Linked DNA regions of Schizosaccharomyces pombe. The gene in region 3 interacts genetically with the main gene of each other region. Each region holds a gene or a part of one and is shown on either strand. Other genes may lie near its edges. The genes, in order: php3, ubp2 and zrg17.

The links.
Region 1: mutations in zrg17 (region 3) and php3 together harm fitness more than expected from each alone (negative genetic interaction), as found in Schizosaccharomyces pombe (one large-scale study listed by BioGRID).
Region 2: mutations in zrg17 (region 3) and ubp2 together harm fitness less than expected from each alone (positive genetic interaction), as found in Schizosaccharomyces pombe (one large-scale study listed by BioGRID).

The regions. Positions count from the first base shown.
Region 1 is NC_003424.3:2,143,897-2,147,039, forward strand, and holds php3 (CCAAT-binding factor complex subunit Php3), read left to right. Parts: upstream 1-1,784; coding exon 1,785-1,883; intron 1,884-2,030; coding exon 2,031-2,091; intron 2,092-2,146; coding exon 2,147-2,274; intron 2,275-2,429; coding exon 2,430-2,492; downstream 2,493-3,143. Other genes in the region: SPOM_SPAC23C11.07 (uncharacterized protein), read left to right, coding at 998-1,330. UniProt on the Schizosaccharomyces pombe protein: Belongs to a complex that binds to the sequence CCAAT located upstream of genes involved in mitochondrial electron transport.
Region 2 is NC_003424.3:3,485,503-3,489,262, reverse strand, and holds the start of ubp2 (ubiquitin hydrolase Ubp2), read right to left. Parts: upstream 2,070-3,760; 5' UTR 1,939-2,069; coding exon 1-1,938. Other genes in the region: hrb1 (RNA-binding and mRNA export factor), read right to left, coding at 2,761-3,207, 3,289-3,681.
Region 3 is NC_003423.3:1,944,657-1,948,416, reverse strand, and holds zrg17 (Golgi zinc importer, CDF family, Zrg17), read left to right. Parts: upstream 1-2,010; 5' UTR 2,011-2,094; coding exon 2,095-3,255; 3' UTR 3,256-3,480; downstream 3,481-3,760. Other genes in the region: SPOM_SPBC16E9.15 (uncharacterized protein), read right to left, coding at 1,042-1,139, 1,204-1,246, 1,296-1,319, 1,377-1,439. UniProt on the Schizosaccharomyces pombe protein: Probable transporter involved in the regulation of zinc homeostasis.

The DNA.
Region 1 (3,143 bases), on a different chromosome or scaffold from region 3:
GAAACGTAATGAATGGGCGGCTCAGCGTTGTATGGAAATAAGACTAGTTAAGTGTCCTTTAGTAATGCACTCGATTACTCTATGTGACGTCGAGAGGACGGAAGAGTAGGAATGATGGTAAAGGCAAAAAACATATTCGTTCTTTTGACAACACACAGCTCGCATCGCCTTCAATTACCCTTGCCAATGTTGCAAGTGATGATGGGTGAGATGGGATAGAAAGAGGAGCAAACTTTTAATCTGATATATCATTGATGTATAGGAAATGAGAAATAAAAATACAACTAGGTTTATAGTGCATTCCACTGTATAATATAAAGATTAGGATAGATACACATGACTTTTGAAGTGCAGAAGTATAGTCAAGTAGGGAATATAGTTGAGTAGATGCGAGTTGTAGAACAAAACAATTCAGTATACGCAATTTTCCCCTACGGGAACATATTTAGGTATGCGTGCGAATGGAGAGTGAAGATGAATGAAATGTAGAAAAAAAAAACACTGGATTGTCAGTTTTGCCATAAGATACATTTACTTTCTTGTTATTCCATTTTTCTACGAATCTTCTTTGCTAGGTTATTTTTATTAACTTTTTCGCAAACACGATTTTAATAACATTGAATTCCTCTTCAGTTATCAGATGTGAACGGTAAATACCAATTGTGAACTATTTCAAACGAACTTAATATTTGCTCTGTAAGTTGTAAAATAAATGTCTCATAATTATTTCGCTGTCAGTTTCCACAATCGCTTCTACTCTTTTTTTATATTTATATTTATATTTTTTTTTTGAATTAAATTAATTCATATTATTATTTATTTTTCTTGGTTTTCTAATGATATGTTTATGATATTTATAAAAGGATTTATTTATTTGCTTTTTGTATGAAGGATCGTCGCTTGAATGACAAAACACTTCTTTTGCTAGTCTCTCCTTTCCTCTTGTTTAACGTATATCACGATTATTTTGTCAGCGTAAAAGTGACATAGGGATTAGATGGCATCCCACTTTCTTTTTACTGGGAAACCTTGGCTTCAAGAGAAGACGCCTCGCCTTCACCTTCATCCCACTTGGGACCTTAAAGCTTCCAAAAGTCTTGCTCGTTTCCCTTATACGCCACTTGAAAGTCTTTTGGCCCCCATTTCGGCCTTTCACCCCACTTACCTAAATAGCGCAGCCCCGTCGAAGGCTCAGAGCCATCCAGTATTGCTCGCCGCTGGAGTAGGTGGAATAGTAGTTAGATGCCCCAGTCGGAAACCGATATATCGTACCACTCGAATTCAGTATCTCTTGTTAATCTCCCACTTTACAACTGCACTATTTAAATAATATTATAGGCCGATACAGTCAGTCTGCGAATTGCTTGCAACCTGTAGAAACAAATTGCTGTTTCTTTTGCAATAACATAGTGTTTCTTTATCGCAATAACCAACTACTGATTTCTTTCCCTATTGGAAGTAGATAGACGTTTACTTTCTTTTGTGAAGAAGCAGAAAGTTAACGTTAAGCCATTACCCTCGTTCATTGCTCAAAAGGAGGTCATTTCTTTTTATTTGATTTGTTCGTCTTTTAGGATCTTCATCTCCTGCTGAATTATTGGATTTCTTTTTAGTTCCCTCCACAAAGGCTCGAGAATAGGTTATCAGCTGTCGATTTTTGTCAAGGATCGTGCTTGCTAGTAGTCAAACCAATTTTAGCGGGGTTTGTGTACTTATTTTCGTTATTTGAGGTTTCTCTGCTCGCCAAAATTAAATTATACAAGTAAAAGATACATTTAATTATCATGAGCGCAGACGGGTTGGATTACACCAATCTCCTACCAATTGCAAATGTCGCGCGTATCATGAAATCGGCACTTCCCGAAAACGCCAAGATTTCCAAGGTATGCATGATTTGTTGAATTGAGAAAAATCGCATTGTCAGTCTCTTCGATTGATTGATTGCTAGTGACGGAGTAGGTCGCTGTGAGTGCGTTCTTCTCTTTTGTTTTGTAATTTTCATGTTGCAGTGCTAATGTCTGACTTTTTAGGAAGCTAAAGACTGCGTCCAAGATTGCGTTAGTGAGTTTATTTCCTTTGTTACTGGTGAAGGTATGGAATCAATAGCAAAAGCCTCATGTATAGTTATTTACTGACCATATAATAGCATCTGAACAATGCACTCAAGAAAAGAGAAAGACAATTACTGGTGAAGATGTTTTATTGGCTTTAAATACCCTTGGGTTCGAAAATTATGCCGAAGTTTTAAAGATTTCTCTCACCAAATACAGAGAGGTAAGGAAAAATTCTTTATTTGAATGGTGATACGTGTACTTCTACTTCCTTGTTGGCTTAGAGATTTAAATTGTCTCAAGCAATGAAGGCGCAACAATTCATTCACTCATACCAAAATTTCATTCTCATAGTCACTTTTCTAACATCTACTCTAGCAACAAGCAAGATCTGCTAGCATGAAAGAAACTAAACAAAGCCGGTCCGAAGAGCCTCAGTAATTTCCTTATATATTTTGCATTAGCGGGGTTTTCCCTGAAATATTTCCTGACTTTTGCAGCGATCGTCGATCGCCTTATTTGTTATTCCTCTCTCTTTTTGTACTCTCCTGTTTTATCTCTGTTTATCTTACAAATGATGCTAATTTACGAACTATGTTAATTTCTACTTTAACCAAGTTTCAAAGATAAGCACTATATTGCCAAAATGGCCTGTTCATATTTAAAACTTCCTTAATGTCGTCAGTATAAATTTAGCAATTACTATTGCCTGTTTACTTAAAGTGTATTATTGTGATTATCCCTCATTCGCTTTTGCTTACTTTTTCATTTTGTTAATCCTGCTACTGTTAACCTATATATTATTTTGAAAAAAATAGCATTTCATTTTTATTTTTACTCATTTCGTCTATTTCACCGAAATCAGCATAAGACACATATAGTCATTCGGTTCATGGAAGGATTAGCCGATGTTTCCGTAGTCATATACGTATCAATCAATAAATTTTCTTATTGTCAGGAAAGTGTTTAATCCTGCTGTAGCTAGTATGTAAATTACCTTCTCAGCGTACGGCTATATAATACCAGGGTCATTTTCCGTCCACCGATTCTAATAGATTCCACCAACTTCGTATGTTAGGGATTCGTGCCTCG
Region 2 (3,760 bases), on a different chromosome or scaffold from region 3:
ATCAATATCCAAAATTGCATTACGAAGAGGTTTTATAATAAAGTAGTATTGGATCAGGGAATTCAAATAACAAAGATTACCAGTATTTTCCAAACCGATCGGAGTATCCAAACTTGAAACTTCTGGTGGAATATCTAGATTTCCATGTTCTAAATAATGAGTGATTAAACGCGAATTCCTAACTTCTCCTATACATTTCAAAGCTGCTCTCAAAGTGTCTGATTGCTCTGGGTGGTCTTCAACAGCAAAGCCGTATACATTGATTAAAACGTCATCTGATAGTGCACGATCTTGAACACCTAATGTGTTGTAAGCTAGATCTTCATCCATAGGCACTTCTTTAGGCTTCTTGTTGGAAGGTCTACCTTGTGAAGCCAAGAAATCGTACAAAATGGAGCTATTTCTCTCTTCAGCTATCCATTTGACGGCCTCGATGGCTTTGTCGCTATCATCTTCAAATTTCACTAAGGCCACAGAAGCTACCATGGCGTCCTCGGTGTTAGACTTAATGCCCAACCATTGGTAGGCTTCATTAACCGTATAAAAAGCCTGTTCTGTAGACAAAACATAATTTAAAATTTCAGAACTCTTTCTTGCATAGCCAATAGTCTCCAAATCGTTCCTAATAGCTCTGGCAAATTCAGGTTTTCTTAGGAGGGCAGAATGAAACGCCTCAAAGATTTTTTCTTGACTATACCTGTAATCCGGGCCTACCTCAGCTTCAAGTCCTAAACTCGAATAAGCGGCTTGTATTACATCGCTCGACACGATTCCATTTTTCCTATCTGCCGCAATTAGATCTCTCAAAAAGCTGCTTTTACGTAAATTGTATATATGAGCAAGCGCATCCGCATAAACACGAACATTAGCTTCATCGTTCTTTTTTTGTTCCTCATAGAAATAACGGACAAAGCTGTCTGGATAATCATTCGTGATACCCAAGGCTATAAAAGCAGGATCATCAGGTAAGGAGGCCGAATTGTCGCGAAAAACTGTGGTATACATGGGAACCACGCTATCATAGTTAGGAACGCCAAAGGCATTAATTAAAGCAGGTCGAGCCAACCTAACGGGAAAAGGGTTAGCAACAATAGCCGGATCTTCTTTAGTGTCACGAAAGTGATTAGCCAAAACAATAAGTTCATTCCTAGCAAGGTATAGATTAAGTTTTTGTTCGTCAGTAAGGGGAGCGTCCGCAATGGTAGGGACATAATTTACATTTTCGTGGTGATATTCAAACAGAAGAGATTTCATCAAAGATTGAATTTGGCGGCCCTTTCCGACATGTCTCTCAAAAGTTCCTTCCGGGGCAGCGCTAATGGCACGTTGATCGTTATGGACCAACACGTTTCGTAAAAACAACTCCAAAGAAGTAAATGTAGTAAAAAGAGAAGGTTGGGATGAATGGGATGACCCTTGATGAGATGACGATTTTTTAGTTAAAAGGGAAGCAAATGATGGACGTCGGGAATCAATTATCTCTTTGATACAATTAGCATCAAGATAGCTATCTCTCCATTCAACTTCAATTTCACTTTTTGTTGTTTTGCTACTCCATTTCATACAAGTAGAGGTAGTAGCGAATTCACTTTTCGTAGGGCTAGTCACATGAGGTTCAGGTAATTCCTCTTCTTCGTAGTAAACAGGAATCCTATCTTTTATTCCATAATTTTCTTCAGGCTCTTCAATTAATGGCTTCCCCCTGTCTCTTCGGACTTTCACATGTAAGTGTTTGCGAGTTTTTTGACAAACACACCAAAAGTCATTCTCGTCAAATACAGCGGACTCGCCTAAATTTGAATGAAGCTGCCAGTGATATCTTGAGCTATGAGGACTCCAAGGATCATTCCATCCAGCTGATGGACTATCAAAGACGTCTAAATCTTGAATCAACCGATTAGGACTTTTGCCAATTCGCAAGTTCTTTACAGTTGCCATTCCTCTTTATAGTTTGATGTAAATAATTTTAATAAAGAAATTTAAATTTTTTATTATGAAAAATACTTGAAAAAACGTCCAAACGGAAAGAACGTACAGATTGAAGGATTTTTCATGAGTAAAGGACTCGGTAGGTAGACTTCATGCGTATGATGCTTGTCGTCTTACATATGCCAGCCAGGTATGCGACCATCAATTTTATGAATGTGGGGAATAAGATAGAAGTAAATGTTTGTATTTCATTGATAAGGCTACTAAAGAAGGTAAGAAACAATCAACACCTACATTTCGCTATACGAAATTTACCATTATGCTTAAATAAGATTTTTAACCTAAATACACCTTACTTTAAAAATAATGTAGTTAATCAATAAAGATTAAACTTGGTTAACTGGAAGTTAACAGAATGGAAGTCTAAAAATCTAAAATATCATTAAAACCATGAAATGGTTAGCAATTGTAAAAGAAGGAAACTAGGCATCCTGTAAAAAAACAGTAAAGCTAAAATTAAAAAGACTTCAATTAGAAGAACGAGAGACGAATATATATGCCATCAGCATACTTTGGTGTGTCACGGAAAAGAATAAGATCTTAGCAAAAAATTGAAATCAAACAAAAGAGATAAATCTATAAACATGGAAAATAAGAATATTTGGGGATTAGGAATTAAAGCAAAAATTTGAAGAAAAAATAGAGAAAAGCAAACAATATTAGGATAACTGCCTTAGAACATTGCGCATGTCGTCACTGAGCTAGCCATTCACACTACGGAAATGTGCTTAATTGTAAAGAGAAAAGAAGTTCAGATGTATTGGCGAATTTTTAAGAAGGCTCCAAAGAATGTTCAATATTATTTTCGGGTAAAGCTACAGAAATAGGAGCAATAGCGGGCATGTTTGCAACGGGCATTGAAATCGGTAGATAGCCTAAGAAAGAATTTGTAAAAGATTGGGGCGTTAGTGGTGAATTCGTTGTAGGGATATGCATAACAGGTGGTGTATAAGCGACTGAAGGAAGACCCGAGAGCACAGTAGGGACAGCAGGTAGTGGAGTCGCATAGTGAGCGTATGATAATTGCAAGGGTCTCCCGCCATAACGATAACCATTTAATTTTTCAATTGAGGATGCTGCATCATTTTCATTCTCAAATTGAACGACACCGAAACCTTTAGATCGGCCAGTGGGCTCATAGGCGATTCGGGCACGAATGACTGAGCCAATATCTGTGAATAGGTCCAATAAATTGCGATCTGAGGTGGCCCAAGGTAACTATATTCAGTCAGTAATCTCCAAAAAAAACTTAAAATGATGCGGAAAACTAATCCCACAAAAGCGTCCTTATATACATACATTTCCAACGTAAATGCAATCCGAGCAGGGTCCATGGGGATACGCATGATAAACTAAATCCTCGACTTGAGTATTAGCACCTAACATGGGTAGATAGGTGGATGATGTAGTCATTTGCATTTCCGCTGGAAACGTATAGCCATTTCCATGAGTGGAATACGGCTTACTTTTATGATGTGCAAACCGATCTAGGCGAACTTCTAAAGTGCGGCCCATGAAATCAGTGTTATGCAACATTTGAATGGCATGCATGGCTTCTTTCATCGAACTCATGACAACAATCCCAATGCCACGGGATCGGCCTTCTTGGTTCATTTGGATATCAGCTCGGATAACAGAACCAGCTTGTCTAAACAAATCCTTTAAATCTTGCCAGCGAACGTTATACGGTAACTATACTCGTTAGTACCATTTCTTATTTGCAATTCCACAATTCATTAAAATACCAAAGTTCGAGGAAAAGAATATAGAG
Region 3 (3,760 bases):
CATCCACACGCCGTTACCACTAATGAACCTACTGATGTTAGTACTAAGAGCAAGTCCGCCGCCTATCACTATCCTGCCACCACTGAGACTGTTTCAAGCAAAGCAGCCCGCTCTGCCACCACTCCTGCTTATGTTGGCGGTGCCACTAAAACTCCTAGTACGACAAAGGCTGTTGAATCTACTCCCAGCACCTTGCCTACTTCAGCTTCCACAAATGCTGCTGCTACTACTACCACTAAAAAGCCCAAGGCTGCCAAATCTACTGCTGTACGTGATGATGTTTCTTCTGCTTCTTCGGATAGCGACAAGGGTACCACCGGTTTGGGCAAATCTGAAAGCAAAAGTTCCCGCAAGGAACGTAGAAGCAGCACCAGCAGCGGTCATGGCTTGATGAACAATGTTCGTCATGCCTTGGGTATGTCCAACAAGTAAAGGGAATACTTGCAATATCAAAATTTTTGGACGTAACCTTCATTATCTCGTGAATCCGTTATGAAAAAAGGTTTTTATTGTATGGTTCTTATTTGAAAAAAAGGGACGACAACTTTTTGAGGGGAAAGTTGTCATCCTTTAAAGGTTGGTTCTTTATGATGGAAAGTACTGCGAATTGTTCGTAATTTATTAATGAGATTCTTTGTTTATACGAGTAAAGAAATTGAATGCGATGGATATAGAAAATGTAATGTAGCTTTAGTTTTAAGTAGTTTGATTGTCTGTGGTGGGTTGTATATGCTTGCTTTGGCCTTGCTAGATAATCAAAACAAGAAACAATATAAAATGTACAATAGAACTAACAGGTAAAAATAAATGTACAAAAAATAAATGATTTGAATTTTCTCGTACGAACATGTAAACAATTGAAAAAGACAAACAATCGAGACTTAGAAATACAATTGAAAATAAATAGACAGAGCAAGACAAACAGAGGTTATTCTTAATAAAATAGAGCAAATCTAGCACAATCCCCAATCCACCACGTCAAACAAGCTGTATGCTCACTTCAAATAGAAAGCTTTGAAAATCTTATGCGGTGAATCTTGTTCACTCGGTCGATGTGACCGGTGAGACAGAAGACTTTTTGTTCATGGCCTCACGCATGGATTCTTCAAGTTGATCTAAACGAGTTGACATCGTTTCCACTGTTAACATAAAAAGTTATGATTAGTAAAGCAAAATCTTTCATTATAAATTAGAGAATCGTACATTTCTCAGAGAATTGCTTTTGTAGGGTCTCAAAGTCGCCAGACTATAAAAATCTGTTAGAATGATTAACTAAGCACAATTCTTCTTCTTACAATATCCTCCAATAACTTATCAGTCTAAAAGTAAACAAGGTTAGATCATTAAAAAAAAAGAAAGACTAATCTTAAACGCACCAAAGTCGTGATCGCAGATGTGGATTGAGGATTTTTAGAATTCCCTCTAACAGACGCAGACATTGTAACCGAAAACCTTTTTTTTAATATGTATAGATGCTTCCTTCAGGTAATAAGAACTCACTTGTGAATACAATAGTTGGTATTTGGAAGAGAAATGGAAGAAGTAGGTAAAATAGTTGATGGAACTCAGCTAGGAACCTCTGCGTAATGTTATTTACCTACACATAATTATTTTTATTATTTTACCAAGTGTATTTATTGTCTTATCGAGTACATGTGGAAAAGTCGTAGAAGGAGAATTCAGGCCCTTGGAGTGGCCTTTTTTTTATAACTTAATGATGATTTTATTTTTAATTAAACGAATTAAAAAAATTACTCATAATATCCTTGTATGGATGACTTTGAGCCGCATGTTTGAACCCTATATATATGGCGTTCCACGATGGCTCTGAAAGGTAAGTTTGTTCATCTTTAACCGTTTTCTACTAAGCGTTTTTTATTCCTAGTCACTAAAAAGTAGATGTCTCAAAGATGGTACAACACTATGGCTTTTTATAATCATTTACTGATACAGTCAATATCTTTATCTTAGACTGTTGCAATTTGGGCCTAGTACCAACTGGTCTTACCCATCCACTCCACCAAACGCATGGGTGAGTGAGTTTTTAAAAAAGCCATTATAGAATTGTTGAAAGTATATCTAAATGAATGAAAAATGACTCAAAATCATAACATCCCGACTGCTATTCAGATTCAAAACCCTATAAATAATAATGTCTCTGTAACTATTAGTGATCAGTTACCAAAACCGAGTGCGAATAATCCCAACTTGTTAAGCGTGGATACTCGCCCTACCCACAGAAAAGGCCATCATCACAAACATTCGCTTTCGCATCAATATTTCTTACCACCCAAGAATCGACAGCCGTTAGAGATACCTGCCAGTTATCCCATTCCTACTTTTAAAGAAACATTCGCAATCCTTACTTTTCCTCAAAAACTAAAATTGACAAGCTCAATCCTATTCTTTTTGGTCGCCGTAGGGGTATTACTCTCGGGGGATGCTACTATCCTACTCACTTTATCTTGCTCTTTAATCGTAGAAGGTGTTTTAATCATTATCAACGTTTGGCGTGAAACATTGGATTCGTTCCTCGTCTGGCGACACACGTGTTTACGTTACCCATTTGGAATGCAACAAATGGAATTACTTGTTGATTTTTCCTTCTCAATCCTCTTAATCTTCCTCGGCATGAACCTCCTAAAAGAGCCTGCCGAACATGCTATAGAAGATTGGGGTAATCTCCATCATGCTGGCGATCATGAAGAAGAGACTGTACACATTCATTTAACCATTTCATTGTTTGCTTCGGCTATAATATCGGGATTTGCATTATTGTTGGATCACCCTAGTGCTCACATACGAGAACTCAATTCTCGCTTTTTCCATGGACTCACATTAGTACCTTCACTCATCCTCGTGTTGCTGTTAAGTCTTGGTTATCAAGTTGGTTCATTTCTCAGCCATTTGCTTTCCTTAACTATTGCTGTTACTGCCCTGGTGAATGGGTTCTCCATTGCCAAATCGCTTGCCTTAATGCTCTTGTTGACATACTCTAATAAAGAAAAGGTCTTTGAATGCGTCTCCCTTATAAAAGAGGATACACGAATTGACCAACTTAATTATGCTGCCATTTGGCAACCTCATTATAATACTTGTATTGCTAATATTGGCTTAACCGTTTCAGGAGGTGAACGAGAGCAGGCAGCAGTTCGTGAAGATATTATAAGGATTATACAAAAAACAGTAGGAAGCATATTTGGTGCTGGTGTTCAACCCAAATGGGAAATATCAGTAGATATCCAGAGAGCCTAATCGTTTTTTCCTATCTTACAACCAACCGTGTTTGTAACTCACTCGTTATATTTTTATTATCATTTAATGCATGCATATTTTATCAACATATGACATTATCCACCTTTGCGGAACTTTCGCTGTCTCGAACAGTTTGGATTCATAATCTAATAAATGCCATCCATATTTACTATAGAATTACCAACACCTTTTTCATTCTTTCCTTTAATTTATACCGCTTATTACAAATTATAAGGAGAATACAAACTCAAGATTTTAATATGAAATGAATAATTTTATTATTATAAATAAGGCATGTGTGGTCGTTGCATACTAAAAGGATCAAGTCTAACTAATAATAGAATGCGTATATAGAAGGTATTTTCATATGTAAAAAAAAAAAAGAAAAACGTAAGCATATATATGACCCTCAATTAACATACAGATTCCAAAGGACAAGTAATGCAATTTACTACTTTAAACGTAGCTCTTACCAAGCTTGGAAAGAAAGCGCAAAAAACAAGTT